Linked DNA regions of Lonchura striata. The protein of the gene in region 1 purifies or fractionates together with the protein of each later gene. This does not show direct contact. Links are inferred from orthologs where the notes say so. Each region holds a gene or a part of one and is shown on either strand. Other genes may lie near its edges.

Region 1 (10,215 bases):
TCCACTGACCAGCCCAGGAGTGCCACTGTGATACCTGTTGTAGTGATAATGAGGTAGGAGAGAATAAAAAATATAAAAAATTAAACAAGAAACCAGGAATCTTCTTTGGATTTTCAGCAACCTGGGACTGGAACAGGTTGCCCAGAGTAGCTGTGACTGCTCCATCCCCGAGGCCAGGTTGGACAGATCTTGGAGCAACCTGGTCTAGTGAAAGGTGTCCCTGCCCATGGCAGGGAGTGGAACAAGATGAGCTTTAGGATCCCTTCCAACACAAACCATTCTGAGATTCTATGATTCAATTAATCACTTTAATAATGACTAAGTTGCAACCATAATACTATTTATTCCTGTGCCTTTCCCACAAAGAACAGCATTAAAACCAAATCAAATCTTCACAGCAGACAGGAGCTTAAATACAGGAGCAGCAGTCATCTCCAGCTTCATCCAGCAATCTCTCTGCTTTCTCCCCTTAGTTTCCCCTCTGGGTATCTGTGGAATAACTGAATGACACTTTTTTCCCCTAACATTATTTCCGATATCAGTAGGGAGATTCAGGAGACTTCTCCCTATGAATGTTCCACTCCTTGTACACACCTATGAGAACAGGCTTAACTTTACCACATCAGGACTCACATTTCCCAGAAAAGCCTGGAATTTAGAAGTGACAGACAGGGTCATTCCCTGTTCAGCTCAGATCTGCCTCTTCCATGCAATTTAATTCCACCTCCAGCTGGTCAGCTCATCTAACACTAACTCTGGACACACACCTTACCTAGGGCTCCAGATTTGTCCCACCTTTGCGCTCTGCCAAGACGTCCAGGTCAGGTCCTGCTTTGAATTCCTGGGGCCAGCACAAAGTCAAAATGCAGAAGGATATTTCTGCAAAGTTTACTATAGCTCAAACTTTCCACTACATATACGCTGTTTGTCTTCTCCATTCAGACTGGAAACAAACCCAAGAAATTTCAGATCGTTCAGCAGGTCTGATCCAGAACTGCAAGTCATCATGCCTGTGGTATGCCACAATCAACCCACCTCTTTACACAGTGGGAGCCTCCAATACCAAAAATTCCCCACACAGGAATAAATAAAAAATCCTAGACACAAGCTACTTGCAAACATTGCCCACAAAGCTACAAATAACATGTATATTAAATGAAGCAACTGATTATCCACTGTGTAGGTATTAATACATCAAATCTGTTTCCATGTCACTGCAGATCACCTAATGCTGAAAGATGGCAAAATTAAAATACAAACAAAATTACAGAAGAAAAAAAGGACCTTTTTAAAGAAAGATGTTTAAAAGTTAGCAAGCTAACCACTGCACAAAACAACTGTTGACAAAATAAAAAATTTACTTCTTCCTCAATTAGTAATTTCTGGGAGAGCACTAATATCAACTCCAAGAAAGTTTTACTCTATCTGAATTGTTTGCACTTACATTAGCCAAGGAGGTAAACTTCCCAGAAATGTGGATACATTTATAAGGATGTGTGGCAAAGTTCTTCTGCAGTTGGAGAGTGTGACACAACAGTGTCTTGGTGCTGCTATCTTCCAGGCAGAGTTTGTCTGGCCAGTACCACATGTGAGGATGTGAGCAGCAGCCTTTAACCTGCCTAACTCCTCCTCTTCTCTGCACTGATACCATACAAAAGTATGAACTAAAGAAAGACAGCAGGCTTTTTATTCAGACAAGAGACAATAGAACTTCCCAAAACTGGAAGCTGAGGGAAAACTTTGGCTGGAAGAGCCCAGGGTAGCTGAGCTCTCTGAACCCAGCATACCTCCTGATCTGGCAGCAGTTTTCCAAGCTATGCTGCAGCAGACCTACATGCCCACAGCTGAGCTGACTGTTCTCCAGGGTACACACTGGGTATTTGGGAGACTGCAAATGTTCAGCATCTACTGCAATGCTGACAGCACTGTACAAGTGCAAAACATTTTCCCGACACTTCAGGTAGCTCAGAGCACACCCCACTGAGCTCCTGCAGGGATGAGTCTATCCCTGGCTATGATCTGTCATCCCCACACCCATACGATTAGCAAGACCCAAGGCTTTGCCAGAATGCAAAGGGTTCTACACAGCAGGACTTCTCTTTTAAGGTTTTTGCAGGATTTGGCAGTCACAGGAAACAGCATAAAGCTACAAAGGAAAAAGAGGCCAACCAAACACCTGAACGCTGCTGACCAGCTTATTCCATTCCCATTGCTGCCAAACACTTCCACAACACATATCCAAGAGGAAGATGTCTCTCCTCATGCACACCAGCACAGTCTCCATTTTTTGTGTGACCCAACCTGCAACAGCTGCAAATCTTAACAATAAAAAAAAAGCTTTAAGAAACGTTGGTGTCCTTCAAATGCCTCACTTGTAGCTGTGTAGTACAAGAACTTATATACAGTCTCTAGGGGAAGAGCTGATGAATGATTTTTAAAGATAGAAAACAATTCAGGAGAATATATTCTGTCAGGTCTTGGCATAAATAACACTGGGTGAAAACTCAGGTACCGCCGGGCATGCTCTCAGTAGGCCCCTCCCATCTTCCAGAGCCACTCCTCAGCACTATCTAGGATAAATGGAAGTGACCAAAAAAACCCTCCAAGTCTTCCTTGAGCAACATCTCCCTGCAGCTCAATGGCTCATTTGCAATTTTCTGTTCCACTTTTGGCCTAGCATATATTATACACCATAAGGCAAAGCAGAAACCAAACATTGCTTGGTTTCTCTTTTTAGCCTCATGACATCTGCCTGCCAAGATGAACTTTCTGGAACATGCAAGGCTGCCTCCCACAGCACCGCGTTAAATACTTCCTCCAAGAAAAGAGCATCTCTCCAGAACCTCAACAGCTCGTCTTGGTTTCTTCTTTCCTTCTAATCCTACAGCTAACACCCTCCCCCTCTCAGGAGGAGACACTTTATTCTCCCCTTAATTTTAATACGACCCAAGCATTTGCAGAAACATGTCCTCCACCTACTCACTATATCCACAAGAGCCACCCCAAAAAAATGGTGCTCTCAGGAGCCTCAGAACTCCCCTGTGCTGTTCCAACAAGGCAGATGGCCCTTAAAGCCAAGTCTTCTTTTATAAAAGTAGTATTTAGGCTTAAACTTATCTTTTTGATCACTGATCACTCCTCTAAGGGAAAGAGAAAGAACTGCCTGGTCAGGTGGATGACTTAGCTACTTTCAGTTTGCACACACCAGAAGAGCAGGTTGGTATCACACACTGCATGTTTTAATTTGAAACACAGTTAAAAAGCAAGTCTCCAACACTCCACCTAATCTTGTTTCACTGGAGTGAATGCATTAACAATGCCTACCTGCACTCAAGAGATGCATTTCCTCTTCAAAAGCCACCTAATCCTTCCTAGGGGCTTCCTCTGCCTGTTCTGTTCACTGCAGAAACAAGACATTCTTCAACACAGGGGCTATGGAAGTTCTGGAGCCCCTTGTCTTCCAACACCTCCTTCCTATATTCACGCATTACCTCTCACTTAGAGCCCTTCTTTAGTTCTCAACTCAGATCCTGATTTCTAGAGCACAAACACCAAGCCGGCCTTCTGAAGCAGCAAGTCTGCACGTTACAGCGCCGAGGTCCTGCCCCTTCAACCCTACTGCGGCCCCGGACAGAAACTCTGCCACCGCGCAGCTCTGTCAGTCACCAGCCTGGCCAAGGGCCATTTCCTGCGACCAAGGGCTGTCACACGCAGGGAAAAAAAAAAAAAAAAAAATTAAAAATTGGTTTTTAGGCAAAAGCAGCCCAGGAAGAGATACGCTCAGAACGAAAGCCCGGGATGTACGCAGCGAGAGCTCCTGCCGCTGTCTAATTTTCCAGAGATTAAGAACTGCGGAAGTCTCCGGCACCAGTGTGCACCTGGCCCGCGGGACCCCAGTATCCACACCCGCTCCAGGAGTGCGTGAATTGCTCTCATAGCCCGCTTTGACCGTCCCCGTTAGCTCCGCTCCCCGCCCGCTCCAGCCCCGCGGAGTTGCTGTCCCACATCCCCCGCCCGCTTGTAACAGGCTCAGAACTCCTCACGGAACAACGACCCCGCCGAGTCCAGGGTAGCGCCCGCTGCGCTCTCCTCACGGTCCCGCTCCCCGCTCGATCCCACCACCGCTTTGTTCGGCTCCACCGCCCCAGGACCCGCCCCGAACCCCGCGCCCCGGTGTGGCGGATACTCGCGGGTGCGGAAGGCCTCCTGCGTGTGGGGAATGACGAACAGCTCGCCCGGCTCCCCCGGCGGCAATGGCTTGGCCAGCGGGAATGGTTTGCGGCCGAGTAGCGGCGCCATAGTGGTACCCGGTGGGGCCCGGGAGGGACGGTTGAAAAATGGCGGGAGATTCCGCTCCCCCTTACAGCAGGCGGCGGGATCGGCCCCGCGCGCGCGCCCCGACCCTGCCGCCCCGCCCCGCAGCACCCGCCCCCTGCGTCGCGGCGCCGGCAGCCTATTGGCTAGGCGCCCACTCTGCCGGCTGCAGATTGGCCGCACAGCCGGTCGATCGTACCGCCCCGCCCCACCCCGCTGGCGCGGCGGGGTAAGAGGTCGCGTTATATAAGCGGCGGCGCAGCGCGCGGCTCCATTTTGTAGGCCTCCGTTATCCGCCCTCCCGCCCACTGTCGCGCAGCGACCAATCAGAGCGCACTCCGCCCCCTCCAACCCCGTGACTACCAATCAGAGTGCGTTCCGGCCACCGCCCCGCCTCGCGCCCATCCGGGTACCCCCGCGGGGCCGCGCGCCCGCGCGCCGGGCTTTGTCCTCCGCGTCTGACGCGGGGCATTGTGGGGCCGTGGGGGTTTGTGTGGCGGGCGCCGCTGCTCGCGCGGGAGGCCCTGGGCTCGGCTCCCTCCGCTCTGTGGGGACGCGGAGCGGCGGCTCCGGCGGGACGGCCTCCGGGCCGGGTGAGGTTGAAGAAGAGGCAGGAGCTGCGGGCTGGGGGCTGTTGGGACAATGGGGAGGGAGGCCCGACCCATCCCGTGGGTGCTACGCACTCCTGGGAATGGAGGAAGGATAAAAATTCGACAGTTGTGGGTTTATGGTTTTGTTTTTTCTCTATAGGAAATGTGTGGGGAGATTTCATGGCATGAACGTTTACTGGAGATTGGAGGGGCAGAAGCTCGAGCACTGCTTGCCTAAAGCAGTCAAAGCAGAAGCTGTAATCTCATAGCTGATTGGAAAGCAGATTTGTGTTTAATGTGTAAATACATTCTAGGGATCCGGGGTTTGTGCTGTTCATGGCACTGAGGATTAGGTCTGTTTTATACAGCCCTGATGTGGCTTCTTCAGGATGAGAAGCAGCAACCCTGGGAAACTGCTTAGAATCATAGGATCCCACAAGGGCTTGGGTTGGAAGGGACTGTGAAGATGATCTTGTTCCACCCCCTGCCATGGGCAGGGATTCCTTCCACTAAACCAGGTTGCTCCAAGTCCCATTCAGCCTTGCCTTGGGCACTGCCAGGGATCCAGGGGCAGCCACAGCTTCTCTGGGCAACCTGTGCCAGGGCCTCACCATTATCACAGGGAAGAATTTTTTCCCGGTATCCAGTCTAATCATGCACTGTGTCAGGCAGATGGACACTCAGAGTACCTCCTGCATGCAGAGGGCTGTTTATGCTGGGTGATTTGGCCCACATGGATGTATGAACTGGGACCAGTTCTGCTCTGGAGCAACAGAATTAATGGTGTCATTAATTTCCCTAAAAGACAGGACAGTAACTGGACCTCGCACAGTATTCTCCAGATTGTAGATGTAATAATCAGATTATTATTAGTTTACTAGATTGCTTTATAGCAATGAGGATCCCATCATTTCTGCTGGTGAAGTATTAAAATCATTTAACTTTCTTTGGGTGTACACTCATTTGATGTGTTGTGTAATTCTGGGAAGTTTGTGCTGTGAGTATCCCTGGAATACAGCAGTTGCATAATGGAACATAGAGCACAGTCTTCTGGGATCAAAAATCCAGTGCATTTTCTACAGCACTGTAAGCAGGCAGGAAAGAAGGGTAATGCTGCAACATAAGTGTTCACTTTTACATTATTGTTGTTGGCACTAGTAGTAGTATTCTGCAATGAAACAGGCTCCCAGTGAAGTTATGCCCCATCCCTAGAAGTGTCCAAGGCTAGGCTGGACAGGACTTGAAGCAACTTGGCCTAGTGAAAAGTGTCCCTGTCCATTATTTGGATGTAACAAGATGATGTTCAAGGTCCCTTCCAATCTATTCCATCTCATGAGTCTATGATTCTATTTCGTACCAGAACAGATAAGTAATGCCATAAATCCATCAGTGAGTTTAAGAATGGTTGTTGAGGATTCCCATTACTATAAGAGTTGCTTGAAAGCACAGTCAGTTCACAGCCAGTGAAACAGGTTATTGTGGTACTTCACATGGAGCTTGGCTTCATTCCATGTTATTTTGTCAGAAGTTAGAGTACCTGAGCTAAAATTCTACATGATGTATGTCTGCCTCTCTGGGCTGCAGGGCAAAGTGGGGAGGGGAAAGAAAACTAGAGTGTAATGAACCAAGGAAGAATGGGGTGCAGACCTGTGGAGCAGTATAATGTGGGAAGAACATGCTTAGCTGAAAGGTGGTGTTGAGGGAATATGGCCACTCTGTAGCTCTGACAATGTGGGGACACATCAGGGGTCTGACCCTGGGGGATGACAGCATGCGAGGAGGGGGGCAGCAGGCACAGGGCTAGTCCTTGGACAGGGAGAAGCCTCAGGGGAGATGCAGGCAGGGCAGGGAGCTGAGGGAGGCAGGACCACAGGGAGGGATGGGAGGGTGAGTTACCTGTCCCTGCACACCCATCGTGGAGCCATGTGCCTGTTCCTCCATAGCAAGCCATTGGGATCTGGGGCATGGCAACCCTTCAGTGCTGATACAGGACTGGTAAAGGTCTGGTGTCCCGCAGTCATTTTTCAGGCTGGGAAATTGTGTGTAGTTCCTGGCACAGGTTAATCATGCACTGACTAGAGAGCTGTTCATTTACCCTGCAGCTGCTTGCTGAGGCACACAAAGGTTGGGTTTCTCTTCATGGGTGGTACCTGCCCATTGCAGCAGCTTCTTAGCCTCAGGAGCACCGAGTTATTCCAGGATGGTTTTCCAAGGCAGTTGTATACTGTCTCCCAGTGCCCAGGAGATGGCACTCCTGCATTTGGACTGTGTGCAGCTGTTCTCCAGACACCAGAGGTTGCCTGAAGAGGAGAATCCCATCGTGGGATGCCTGTTTGCTGGGGAGGGAAGTGGCCACATTTGCAGTGTCTGGTGATCTCTCCTGTTCTGGGCAATACCAAAGCTGGGGTGGTGAGCTGTGAGAACAGTCTCTGCCAACCAGGCAGGCATTCCTGGATGCATATCGATGCCACAAACTCCAGCAATGGGTTGGTGTCACTGTCAAGTAGTTACCACCATAGAGGACCTGAAGGTGTGAGGTCCATGCAGCTGCAGCTCCTTCAGGTGTGAAAGCCAGATGAAAGCATCCTTGTGAGGATGGTGCCCACTGTCATGAAGCCTTACTACTGGCTGCCTCTTCTCAGCCACAGCTGGTGCCTTTAGCATTCCAGCAGGGAGCACATGATGGAAATCATGATTTGACCCCCCGCACTGCTCTTCACTTATAGCCCTTAACTGCTCTTGCCCTTCCCCTCAATCCCCATCTTCCCTTGCCTTCACCAGCAGTGTACATAGAGAAAATTAAAGCACTTGGACTCACTTGAAATCAGCTTCCACTTGTGTTAAACAGTGGTGGAACTCAGTGCATTTATCTGAGCAAATGAGTTGAATACAGGTTGGAGGTTAAGCTGTGTCCCTGGGGATGTTCTCAGATTTTCCCTCTTCAGAAACAAAAGCAGATTTGCAAGTCTCATACATGTGTGTTTAGAGAGTGAGATTGAGTTGGTGACCCAGAGGAGTGAGGAGCTGGTGAGTGGTGGGAGAGGTGACACAGGGGTGACAGGGGTCTGTCCAGGCTGGCCATGCTGCTGGTCTGACTCTTGCCCAGGGTTGCCTGCCCTTAGGGCACCTGAGGAGGTACTGCATTGATGCTGTTCCTAGCAGCTTCCAAACACACTTGGAGGCATTTGACCTGGTGGTTTGCAAAGCCCCTTCTCTGGGTCATGGACTTCCTCTGTACTGACATAGGAGGAAGTCAATGTGCCTAATCTCTGGGCACAGTGTCCTGCTGATCTGTCAGCTGTTCTTATGATCTGTGCTTGAAAACTTTTATCTTGTGTTCCTACACCTTCAAGCAATTTCTCAATTTCCCCATCCTTCCCATGGCAATCTGGACTTCCCAGTTATTGCTCCTCTGGGTTCTGAACCAGCAGAAGCCAACTCTGCCCCAAGTGCTCCAAGGTCAGTTTGATCCTAAATGTGATTTTGGTCATGTGGGTCTTAACATGCCTCTCCCCTCACCCCAGGTAGCTGCCAGGATCCAAAATCAGGGTTTGCTCTCATCCTGGTGCCTGCTGGACTACACAACACTAGACTCGGTGCCAGCTGTCTGGACATTGTGCTGGCAAGGGCCTTAAATAACACAGGACTTGGGAGCAGGACACAATTGTGAGTGGGTGGCCAAGGCTGCCACCCTGCTGTCCCCATTGATGCTCCCCAGAGGGGAGCTCCCACAGGGCTTTGCATTGGGAGCTGCAAGCAACCTTGTGTCTTTCAGAGAAAAAGGAAATAGCTGATTAATCCTGGAGGAGCTGGAAGAGCCAGAAAAAGGGGACTTAAGGGAGGATTTAGTTAGAAATGGCCCAGATACATCAAACTATCTCCTGCAGAAAGCCATACCCCATTACTGCTTCTATATACGGGACAGCTTACGGTACTTACTCTATTAGGAGCCTGGTGATGCTTTGATATATTCCCAGGAGACTGTGATAAAATTTCTGACACTATTTTCCTTGGCTGATTTCAGTCAATCACTTCCAATGGAACTGCCTGCCTGCCTGATACTGAGGTGACATTATGCCCTTGCCAGGCAGGCAGGCTCCTGGAGAGGTGGGCAGAGCAGCACCCGAGGAGCTCCCAGGTGTGGGAAAACAATAGGCTTATAGAGAATGTCCCCAAACATCCCCAGCATCACTGACCTTCTCCCAGTGAGGCAGTGAGCGCTGCCCAGCTTCTGGCTCATAGTACACACAAAAGATGCAGATTCTATGAGACATCTGCAGATGCTCTTTGCTGCTGGTGATGACATCCCAGGTGTGTCTGAGTCAACTCTCCTGCTCCAGCCTGGAGTTAATCCAGGTGTTTGATGTAATCTTGTTCCTTTCTAACATCAGTGAACATTTGAATTGGACCAAAAGGCTCTGGCTTTACTCCATACATGTGAGCCTGAAGCATGTTTCTTGGCTGGTGGTCTTGCTCAGACAGTACATGGCCATCCCAGGTGCAAATATGCATCCTTATATATTTTTGGTCACAAAATCTTTCACTATCAGAGCCTGTCCTAGTTTAGGGAAAATCTGGGAGGAAACTTCCAAAGGGTTCCCTCTAGAAAGTATATTCAAGCAGCCCCTCCCCCTACTGGTTTGGGAAAAGATTTCCTAGGAGAAAAGTGGAAAAAACCCTGTTTCTTTAACAAGCAAAGCATTCACAAACATGAAAAAAATAATAATATTAAACAACAAAACCTCTTGCTGTTCTGAAGAGATGGCAAATGTAAAGTTGTGTTTGCACTGTATATCCCCTCATAATGCTTTGTCCCTCCATATCCCCTCTTTGTACCTGTTTGGTTCATCCCAGTTTCCCCATCAGTACCTGTATGTCCATCAAACCCCAACCCATCCCCCTGTCTCCTCCCAGGTGATGTGTCCATCACCTGGTGACCCTTCCCCTTTGTCCAGATCCTTCCCCCAGGGTCACCAGGTAGCTGGACCCTGGCTGGGACTCCTCCCCGACCCCCTTGCTCAGTGGTCACTCTGAGGCCTTGCCCCCCGAGAGCCGCTCCCATGTCCTTCCCCTGCTGGCTGTTCGGTTTTCCCCGCACCCCTATACCTGGCTGCTCTGGGCGGGGCCCGCTCTCTCTTGCTCTGGAGGTCCTTCGAAGCCAGATGTGGCCTGGGATCTCTCCAGGCCCTCATTAAACTTTGGAACTAATCCTGAGGGAGAGCACCTCTTTCCTTTGCTTTTGGGACCAGCTCATCTTTGGACTCACGTGGGAGCTTCTCCAAGTACCCTGGGATCCAAGGAGAAGTTCCTT
Region 2 (10,814 bases), about 5.9 Mb from region 1:
CTTTTTGAAGTTTGGGTTTGTTTTTTTTTATTTTTAATTTGCTGTGGCAAACTGAACCCCGCAGCTCGAGGAGGTCTCACCAGCTGACAGGGAAATGTTGGGAAATGTTGGCTGGGATTTGGCCTTGCTTTCCCCTGGAAGCTGTGTCATTCTGCAGAGAAGAGACATAGGATGTGGTAGGGCTACAGATACAGAATTGTTTGTACATTTTGTCACAAACATCTCTTGCTGTCAGGGAGGAAAAAAAACAAAACAAAACAAAACCCAACCAAAACTCTGAGTTATAAATCTGTCTAGCAATTTATATTGTGCTCATTTCCGTGGCAGCTCTGGGGCTGTGTTTGCTCAGCAAGCTGCCCTGCACTGGGAGCTCCTGGCCTTATCCAAAGACAAAGCAGGATGGAAAGATACCCCTTGATGAGAATCACAGAGAAACCTTTCAGTTCTATCACTTTCCCCAAACGAGGTCTCTGTGAGTGTTGTTGTAGGAACTCCCTTCCATTTGTATAATATAGTATTATTCTTATATTATTATTATATACTTATATAGTAATAAGAAGGAGGGAAATCTGTCCTTTAACTGGGCTTGCAGGTTTGGTGTCTGCTGAAGAGATGGTGAAAAGTGTGGGTTGGAGCTACAGCCCCAGAGCAGTGCCCCTGGCAGTTCTGCTGGGATGTGCCCTGTTGCCTGGAGCTGCTGAAACTCATGGCCTAGGAGACATTAATTCCTGCAGTTTTGTGGGAACGCTGCAAAAAATGAACTTATATGGGTACCCAATGTCTTTGCTTGTCTTGTTTGAACCAAGATGAGTTAGAGAACTGTCCAGTTCATAAAACATTTGTGCTCCATGGATCTGCAGCCCAGGAAGGGGAGCTCTCAGCCTGCCCTCTGCATCAGCACTGCCCCTGTTGTGCTTTAGGGCATGGCTGTGTCTTTTCCTGCCCTTTCCCAATAGGAGACGTGCTCAGCTTTGCTTTGCAAGTGTTATTTTGTAGATTTTAAAGTCTATTCAGTCTTTCTCCTGCCATGGAGAAAAGCAAGGGCATTACAGAAGGACAGAGCAGCTCTAATTTGTCCATTTAGTTGCTATTTTGGGCTGTAGGACTGCACTCTGCTCAGCAGAGGAGTCCCAGGTTAAACTTTGCCCCTCTGTGAGGAGGGGAGCCCTGGCTGTGCTGCCTTCCCCTGATGTGTGAGCAGGCTGGTGTGTCCTCCTCAGGATTCCTGTACATCCTTCTCCTCCAGACTGCAAACAGTTTAGTGCTGATCTGGCCTTATATAGTAATTTCCTATTATTAGAAACATTTCCTTGGGATCTTGCTCAGGGAGTAGCAGAGGGAAATCCTGTTTCCTTCATCTAACTTGCAGGCAAAGCACCAGTGCTCACTCTTTCCTTATCTCGTGTGGATGGAACAAGAAGTTTTTGTTGTGATCTGCTTTCCAGCCGTAAGCCCTTTCTAACACTGAGCCTCTTTTCAGAAATGCAGGAAAAGAAATGTGAAGGAATAGGAACTGTCAGTCAGCAGTGTGAGCTGTAAAGTTTTGCCTGCAGCCTGTACATTCTCTGTTCTTTTTCATCATGTTTTCCTCATTCAGATTGAGTCCTTCCTTTGGAAAACCAACTCTCTGTTGAGTGCTGGTTTGTGTGAAAAGCAGTGTGCTAGGATGTTTCACCTGAGAGTGCCAGGGATGGGCAGACAGCCAATGGCTGTGTTAAAAAAGAGGAACAACTTTAAATTAAGGAAGGAGAAGTTTTTGTTCTGCGTGCAGCTAGGATGTGTTTTTAAAGGCGAGACTCGCTGGAAGCACCAAGATATGCACAGGCTTTGAACACTTAATTTTTCCTGTGAAAACATTTTTTCCCCTTAAAAGGAAGATGTAGGTCCTGCCACTAGGAGTGACTGTTTGGAAAGTCAGTCTGCAGGAATGCACATCAGCTGAACTGAGTCAGGCTGTTTGTGTTACCAGCTCCCTCCAAACCCGTCCCTGCCACAACTGCTGCAAATGATTGTGTCAGAGCAGGGCCACAGCAATCACAGGGAATTAACTGCTGGTTTAAACTTTGTTGTTGGAGTCAGTGCAACAATTGCTGTTGAGATTGGAGTGTGTTTGTAAAATCAGGGAAACCCTGACAGGGCCATGAGCGGGAGCAGCCACGGGCATGAGACAAACTGGCATCACATTAAGGGCATCTGGTAATTATAAAGTGGGACTTTGTTCTGATGGCCACTGTCAAAGCCAGCCAGCCATTTCTGTTTCACTGCTTCAGCAGAAAGCAACAACAAGGAAAATTTATCTTAATTTGTTAGATTAACCCAGTTTCTGTTTTCGCTCACGTCATAGACCCAGAATTATTGTGTGTGTGCGGGAGCCATAACTAAATGCAAGCCTGTCATATGTGCTTTTTAATCCATCACCAGGGGCATCAAAACAGGGAACAGCAGTGGCAGAGATAGTGCAGGAATCCAAGGAGACATGTGCATCTACGTTTTTTGCAGTATTCCTCTTTTTTTTTTTTTGTATTTATTTGTGAAAAACTGAGCTTGGGAAGAAAAGAAGTTTGGTGTTCTCACTGATGAAGCTTTCTTGAAACAAACAAAACCAGTATTGACAGTTTTAAACATTACAAAGCATAAATTAGAATCCAAAAGAATAATCTAAATATTCTTTGTCTTCTGGTTTTTGAACCCTTTTGGCCACACCTCACTATTTTTAAGGTTTTGTCTTTAACCCTGCAAACACCTTCATACAGAATTGGGGAATTCAGTCAGCTTTTGATGTCATGAAGTTTGCAGTAAAGTGAAGGAACTTTCACCATCTTGAGGCACCTTTTGAGTGAGTATAATGAGCTTTTGGTTTAACCTTTCTAGGTGTGCAGTTTCATAACTGAGCAGGAATGTTGTGTCTCCAGGGGCCAATGTCTTGTGTTCAAACCTCTGCTCATGGTTACTTGTTTGGAGCACTCTTGAGAGGGGAAGAGGAGATGTTTTAATCCAAAAACTGGGTAGAAAAGAGACAATTCTTAGCAGAACTAATAATGTAATGAGTAGGTTTTGCCTTTTTATCAAACCTGTTAAATATTTAGCATTGCCTCTTTGGCAGGGTGTTGATTTATCCTTATCCTGCAGTCAGATGTTCATCCTCTGTTGGACACAAGGTGTTTTTCCTAAGCAGTGGGACAAATGTTCCTCAAAACCTTCAGCTTCTGCTATAGGGTGTTTTAAGAATGTGAGGCATTTTAATCAGTTTTAGATCAGGATAATCTGGACAGCAGGACACGTATGACAGGTTAAAGACATTTCTATTTTTTGATTAAGATGTTCCTCTGACCTGCAAGAGGAAGGGCTCTCAAATTCCTGGCCTGTTTAGGGTGGTTTCTTTCCCATGGTATTTTTGCCAAGTGCTTTCTAATTATGGAATGTGTCTTATTCTGTAGTTCTTTTGTAAGGCAGTAATAACAAATATAAAAATCCAGAAAGAACTCACTCACTGATGATGAACTTGACGCCTTTTGGAATAACACAGATGTGATCCACGTTGATTTTTGAACAGCATAAACCCAAGGCAGCATCTCATACCTCCAGATTTATATTTGCAGTGGAATCTACACTGCAGAGGGGAACACTGATGGTGTTTTCGTGGGGCCAAACTCTTTATTTTTTCAGCAGAGCCACTGCTTGTGGGTGTAGCTGAGCGAGTCACGCTCGGCTCTGCGAGCCTGTCAGAGCAGGGCTGACAGGAAAGGTTTCCAGTCCCCTTGCTTTGAATGTGAAATTGTATGCAGGGAATCAGCTGCTTATCTGCAACGAGCAGAGCAATCCCTGTGCTCTAATCCAGGGTTTAAATGAGTCACTTCTAGCTGGCGAGGCCTGGAAAACTTGATTCATCCCTCAGCCTGTAGTTGCCTGTTGGAGTGAGCCAGACCTTGCCAGCCATCCTCAGCAGAAATCACAGACAAGGGCTGGGCTCTGCTGCTGGAAAGGAAGAGTCTGGTTTTATCACCTTCATAATCCAGTATCAAGATCTTACAGAGTAAAATGATCTCTCTGCTTTCCTACGTTTTTCCCTCCCTCTCCTAATTTAGGCTAATCCACATGCAGGAGTGTTTTCCTCGCCAGCAGAAGTTGGGCAGTAGTTTGGCTGCAGAAAAAAGCATTTTGAGTAAAGGTCTTTCCAGTGGATAAATAAATAAAAGGGTTCTCCTGCATGAAAAAACCAAGGGAAATATGTAAAAAATGTACTTCTAAGTACTGGGTTGTTGTATATTCTTCTCTTATGTGGCATTTTCAGTGATGGGATGTGATCTGAGAAGTGTTAGGAGGTGTTAGCTAGGGAAAAGGTTGAGTTGTTTATGTGAAGATAACTCTGCTAATACTTAGAATTATAACAGGAGTTTAACTGAACTTGTTTGGTGACAATTAGATTGGTTTGAAGAGTGGAGCACTGACATTGTCCTCCTGAAGAATTAGTGCTGTGCCAGGCCACAGCTTTAGTTATGCTTGGAAAGCTCCTGGCTCAGGGCTCACTGTTGTGTTTCACTAATGGCTGATGTGGCTCAGTTTGGGAAATGGAGTTTATATCACCTCTGGTCTCACCTGTGCACAGGACAGGGGCTTGGAGTAGTGTCCACTTCCTTCAGTGCCAGCCCAAAACTAAACCCTCCTCCGAGCCACATCCTGAAGCTGCTGCTGTTAAAAATTCACCCAGCTGAGGTAAGAAGTGAATGAAAGTCCTGCCAAACAGAGTTGTGCAAGAACCACAAATCATGTTCAAAATGGAGTCTGGGAGGGCAGAGGAGCTGTGGCACTGCAGAGCTCCCAGCAGCCCAGCTCCATCCCAAATCCTTGGCACAGTCTGCCTGTGACATCCACAGCAGCCAGGATCTTTGGGATCTCTGCCTTGGGCAAAGCTAATTAGAGGGGAGTGCTGCACCCAACCACTGACAACATCTGCTACGTGTCTTTGCTTTTAAATAGCCTCCTCTCTAAGGAGGTTGAAGCCTTTTAGCCTTTTGCTCTAAATCTTTTTAATTCAGAGCTTGGCTTTACCCTTCCTGTAGCAGAATTTGTGAAGGATGCATTTTGATAAGAAGGAAAAAAACAAAGCAAACAAAAAACCCTTTTAAGCAGAGCTGAGTGCAGATAGTGCCAGTCATGAAACATCAGCAGCTGAGCTTGGGAATTATTCCATGGCTCTGCATGTTCAATAATTAGAGAATCTGCTTGACAGCTCACAATATGAATTGCCTGAAATACCTGAGGGGTGGCATCCTCTCTAACAAATTAATGTATTTATTTACACTACCTACAGCTCCTTTTAGGATAGATGCCCAGCTTAGTCCATTGAGGAACAAAATAATAGAATTATTTTAGGTTGGAAAGAATTTGTGGAGATTTCTGGTCCAACCTCACTTCCGGGCAGGACTAATTTAGATCAAGTCACTCAGTCATTGTCTGGTTGAGTTTTAAATATCTCCAGTGATAGTTTCACAACCTTTTGGGACCCCTGTTCCAGTATTTCACAGCACTCACTGGGGAAAAAAATTTCCCAATAACTCATTGGAATTTCCCTTCTTCCAGCTAATGTCCACCGTCTCTTATTCTTTCACTTTTCCCTAATGCTGGTAAAGGCTGTGCAGTATTTTTGTTAGAATGCCCTTATCTCAGGCAGGTGGGTGGGAAATGAGGTGGGGTTTTCACACTCTTGGTGTAGCTGTGATCACAAATAATTCTGTGTGAGAACAGATGAGCTCAGAGACAGCAAAATGTGCAACTTCTCTTTGCAAGGGCTGGGGACTGAGGGCAGCAGTGCCTTCACTGTGTCCTCTAGAAAGCTCTTCCTTGGGTAGTGCAGGTTGTTTTGTAATAAAGACCTCAGAACTTCCAGGTAAAGTGGGGAGTTTGGTGCTGGATGGCTCCAAAGGAATCTGGAATAAAATACTGCTGAGCCAGGTAGGACAGGGCTTGGTGGAATTGGAAATAAGTGAAATTTAAGGTCCCTTCCAATCCAAACCATTCTGTGATTCTAAATCCTTGTGAAGGCAAACTGCATCCAACCCTGGACTCCTTGTGGCCCTGTGATTTCCTGAGGGGGTGATTCCAAGTGTACTGTCAGTGCCAGGGTTGGGATTGGGTGTTTGTTGTGTTTGGGGTGAGCTGGGAGCGGGTTTGGGGAGCCCTGCCCACGCTGCTGTTCCAGGACAGTAACCCAGTGTCCCAGAGCTCGTCTCTTCCTGTCTGATGGCTGTGGTTTGTGTGCTGGGCTCGGCCCCAGCTTTTCCAGTGCCTGGGATTACTTTTCTTTCCGTTTTTCCCTGTCACTGGGCAGCGGGAACTCCGCGGCAGAGCGCAGCTGATTTCCCTGGGACTGCCTCTGCTGGGCCGCTCCTGGCTGGGAGGGAGTTCTCCTTGGAAAACGCCCTCTCCACATGCTCCAGTAGGAGCTGGTGGGAGGGAGGGAGTTCTGACTGCACTGAAAATGCCATGAAAAAAAAAAAAATTAAAAAAATAAAGGAACTGACAGAAGAGAGAAGTTGTCTTCAGATTGCTGCTTTTTGCAGCGGCGTAAGCGAAGGCTCTGCGAGGGCTGCAGGAGGCAGAGATGAAGTTCCGAGGCGGGGTAAGGTTTATTTAACTCCTCTGGTGGCTTTGCAGCTCTCAGATGCCTGTCTGGTCTCAGAAGAAGAGAGGAGGCTTTCAGCAGGGAAGTGAAATGCTTTGAGAAGGATCTTTCATTTAAAAGTTGTGTGAAAAGGGGTAAATTGAGCTAAAAACTCAGAGAATACCTGTTGGGAGGAGGAAGGCAAGGTGGGAGTTGAGAAAGTGGGAAGAGAGGAGAGAGCTGGGCTCTGCTTTAGGAGGGAAGAAAGGGTGGAGCTTTCACTTGGGCACAAGGATGTGAAAGGACCGTCCTGGAGCTGGGCTCTGCTCTTCTCCTTCCCAGGGCTCCTGTCCAATTCCTGCCATCCTAGGGAATGGCAGGAAGTACCTGCTTAAGGATTCATTGCCACTCAGCTTCTCCAGGCTGTTTTAGTTTAGGAAAACTTTGTCCATGCTTTAGCAGCAGCCAGAACACCTGGCCCTGCATCCTGCATGGGACAACCCTGGGCTTGGGAAAAGGATTTTGTGGCAAAAGATTGACAGGACTGGGATTATTACCTGGAAAAAAAGATGAGGACAAGAGGAGGAAAAAAAAAAATAACAGTGCCACAGAAAACACAGAACTCCTTTTTCTGTGTTGTGTAGCATGGGAACAGGGACACTGAATTAAGCTAAAAGTTGCCAAAGAGATGCAAAGATTATTTTCATACAGTGAATAATTGGGCCATGGAATTCACTGACTCTGGAAGATGCTGAGGTCAAGAATGAGGGAGTGTTATAAAAAAAGTGTGTGGGCTTTTGCCTGGATAAGAATGCTCAAGGCTTTAATTGGTAAAGTGACCAAATTTAGGAAGAGAAGAGTTGAAAACGTCGTTTCTGTAGATTGGAGCAATTCTGTGTTAAAGAAGAGTTACCATGGGGCTGGTGTGTCCCATACCTGCTCAATCCAGAGATCCTTGCTTGTTTTCCCAAATATTCTAGTGCTGACCACTGAGAAAATGATGAAGGGCAGGGCAGAGCTTTTGGAGACCCTCCTCTGTGGAAGTGGAGGTGCCAGGGCTCCACAGGCTGTTTCTGCTGGTATCTGGTGTGCTGGGGCCAGCCCCCGTGCCCAGCTGTGGGCTGGAGGAAGGCTGGCAGAGGTGGCAGTGGGATGGGCAGAGGTGGTGCCCGGGGTGGTGCCCAGTTCCCCGCGGGAGCTGTGGGGTGGAGGTGCCCTTCGCGTGGCCCCGGAATGCTCTGGAGCTCTCTTTGGAAAGTTTGAGTCTCTGAGAGAGCTCGTGGTGTGAGAGGGCTCTGTGGGGGTGTGGAATGCAGTGGGGAAGGGAAGGGCTGCCAGTGGGACACAGGGCATCGCCAGGGCACGGGGCACAGGCAGTGCCCCAAAGCTGCCAGGGGCACAGGCAGACCCTGGCTCTTTATGTCTGAGCTTCTGCCACCCTTCACCTGCTCAGCTGCTCTGGAAATCAGCACCAAAACTCATTGGAAAGGGCAGCAAGTTGATGTTTTGCCTTTTTTAAATGCCTTTTTGAAATCTGTTTGTCCTCTGAAGCTGCTGTGGGATGCCCAGGCCTGTGGGCACAGGTCTCCTGAGCAAACTGCCACCAGCAACATCTTTGAACCAGCAGCAGCTTGTGCCATCTGTTCAGGAGCAAAAATGTCAGCTCCCTAAATATAGAAATTCTGTGTATTTACTTTTCCAGCCCTGGTGATCTTTCTTTGCCTAGTTCATTTTTCTTAGTGCTCTTTTATATTTAGCCTGTTGATTGAAATATCATTACCCCTCTTGATGGTAAACATTTTTCCTGTCCTTCAAATCAGTTCTTACAACTGCCTTTTCCTTTTCACTGCTAATTGCTTATTTCCTTACTCATCCCCCCACAAAGTAAAATCTGGAAGGTATAATTATGTTATAAATATTGAACAAATAATATTAGCTACTTATTATTTCAATTTGTCCCTACCCAAAATGTGGAAAACGTCAAAGAAATTACTTTACAAGAATTAGTCAAGGATGTAGCATTTCTTTTTCTTGAATATAATTTTTTTAATAATGTATTCTGAAGTTCCATCCTTCCATCTGGTTAGGATGGGAAGTATCAGAGGGACAACCAAGTTCTGAGTTCCCTAACTCCAGACATTCCATTGCTGGTGATGTATTGGTCTAAAATAAGCAAGAATAAAAAGTAATTCTGAGAAAAGGTCCTTGAGTGGCAGCTGCAAACTAAAGTTGTTTCCTCTAATTCTGCTGGTCTGTGTCACCAGCGTTGTTACCTGCTTTGGTCCCAATCCACCTGACAGCTCTGCTTTTCCCAAGTTGTCCTTTGGGAAATCACCTCATTTGCCTTACATAATTAAAAGCAAAACATAAAGCATTTCCTTTTGTTATTTGATTTTTTTTTTTTTTTTTAACTAAACAAGCCAAATACCTGTCTTATCAATTATTAACTGAGGTGGCTTCAGAAAGGGCAGACAAATCCACGTGGTTGCTTGCAGGGGATTTTTATGGGAGACACAGAGCTGCCTCTCAGGAAATCTTTCTTTCCAACCCAGCTGTTGACTAACCCAGGGAGCTGTGTCCAGCACGAGCAGCTGATTTGCAGTGTGGCAGGAGGGAGGAGGATCCCGAGTGGCTGCACTTCAGTCTGCCAGGGATTTGCTGGCAGATTCCCTCAGTCTGGTCCACCTCTGCCATCCTCATTATTTCTTTCTGCATGCAGAGGGAAAGAGGAGCTTTCCCATTCTGCACCTTGGGAATTGAGGCCGTGGATACAACAGTTGATTTTTGTCTGCTCTGCTGTCTGGCCCATGTTGTGTCCAAGCTCTTTCCCAGGCTGTAGAATGAAGTAGAAATCAAAGGAATTCTTTTTCTTTCCTGCAGCTTTGGCATGACAGTGAAGAATGTCCAACTATCCATGAGACAAATGTTTTTTTGCTGCCACCTCCCCACGAGAAGTTCGTTCTTGGTTCAGACTTGCATTGTCTTCCAGAATCTAATCTGAATTTCCCTTCCCACTCACATTTGGTTCTGGCCTGTTCTTCCGTTCCCGGCTTTGTGACTATTTCTGGAGCCTGCAGATCAATCATCTTGCACTTGATACCAAGATAAAGGTGCCTGCCTCTTCCCAGATGGAGCCACTTCCTGGGGTTCTTCCAGAGAATCTCCTGATGGATACAACCCAATCTGTAAAAATACATTGCCAGGAGAAAATATTGCAAGATATATTTTTAGGTGTTGAAACACAAATTCCTTTCTGAATCAGTTGTGCAGTTTCCCTGCTCCATACAAGACCATTCACTTTGAGAATTCCAGGTGTTTTCTCATGGAAAGGAGTGGGAAGTTGCTGGTGCTGCCTGTTCCCTCAGTGTGTCTGGAGTTGAGTTTTAAACCACTCCAGTACCCCTCTGGGAAAATCAAGCCTGGGAATGAGTCTTGGTGCCACATTGGGTATTCCATGGCTGTGGAGCAGCTGCTGGACAAAGCCAGGGGGAGTTTCTTGCTCTGCTCAAGCCCCTGTGCTCATGGCAGTGCTGCTCTCCCATTTTCCAGCACAAATTCCCCCAAATTTGTGCTCAGCCTGGCTGACTCTAATACTTTGGATTTTGCTGTGCAGAGCAAAAGGTCCTGTTTTTCATTTCTGAGGTGTATTAGTTCTCCATGTCCTAAGCAGAGGAAAAACTTTATCATGCTTTGGCATTCAGCAGAGTTTAAAGGAAAAATATGTGTTTACACCTTCACAATCCCTCGTCAGCGATTTCCCAGCTCAGTTTAGGAAACTCCTTGGTACAGTCTTGAGTGGTTTTGTACTCCCAGGAGCTTGGAGGTATTTGCTGGTCTTGTTGACTCTTGTATGAACACAAAGAAAAGCTGGAACTCCAGCCAATGTAAACCTGACTCTGCAGGCTGCATTCAGCAACCAATTTACACCAGCCGAAAGTCTTTCCCAAAATTCAATCCCAGGGCAGAAAAAGCCTTGTGGAAGCAGAGCAGCGCTGGTGATTGCACTGGCCTGGTCCCCACCATTCCAGAGGGACTTTTCCTTTCCTGGCCTTGAGCCACTGTTGTGCTTGAGGCTCCGGAGAAGACATTAAAAGCAAAGAGTGGGTTAAAATACAATGTGGGAACGAATCCCTGGAAACGGCACCATGGGGTGGCTTTGGGAAATTTGGCAGAAGTGAGTTTGGGCACTCTGGAGGGGAGTGACCTTCGGGAC

Evidence for each region.
Region 2: the proteins of BAZ1B (region 1) and MYO1C purify together in Homo sapiens (affinity purification with western blotting; 3 studies listed by BioGRID, with this or other methods). This does not show direct contact. The link is inferred for Lonchura striata from reciprocal best matches to the Homo sapiens genes BAZ1B and MYO1C.

What each region holds. Positions count from the first base shown.
Region 1 is NC_134622.1:847,726-857,940, reverse strand, and holds the start of BAZ1B (tyrosine-protein kinase BAZ1B), read right to left. Parts: upstream 4,423-10,215; 5' UTR 4,300-4,422; coding exon 4,187-4,299; intron 1-4,186. UniProt on the Homo sapiens protein: Atypical tyrosine-protein kinase that plays a central role in chromatin remodeling and acts as a transcription regulator. Involved in DNA damage response by phosphorylating 'Tyr-142' of histone H2AX (H2AXY142ph).
Region 2 is NC_134622.1:6,795,409-6,806,222, reverse strand, and holds the start of MYO1C (unconventional myosin-Ic), read left to right. Parts: upstream 1-6,408; 5' UTR 6,409-6,601; coding exon 6,602-6,619; intron 6,620-10,814.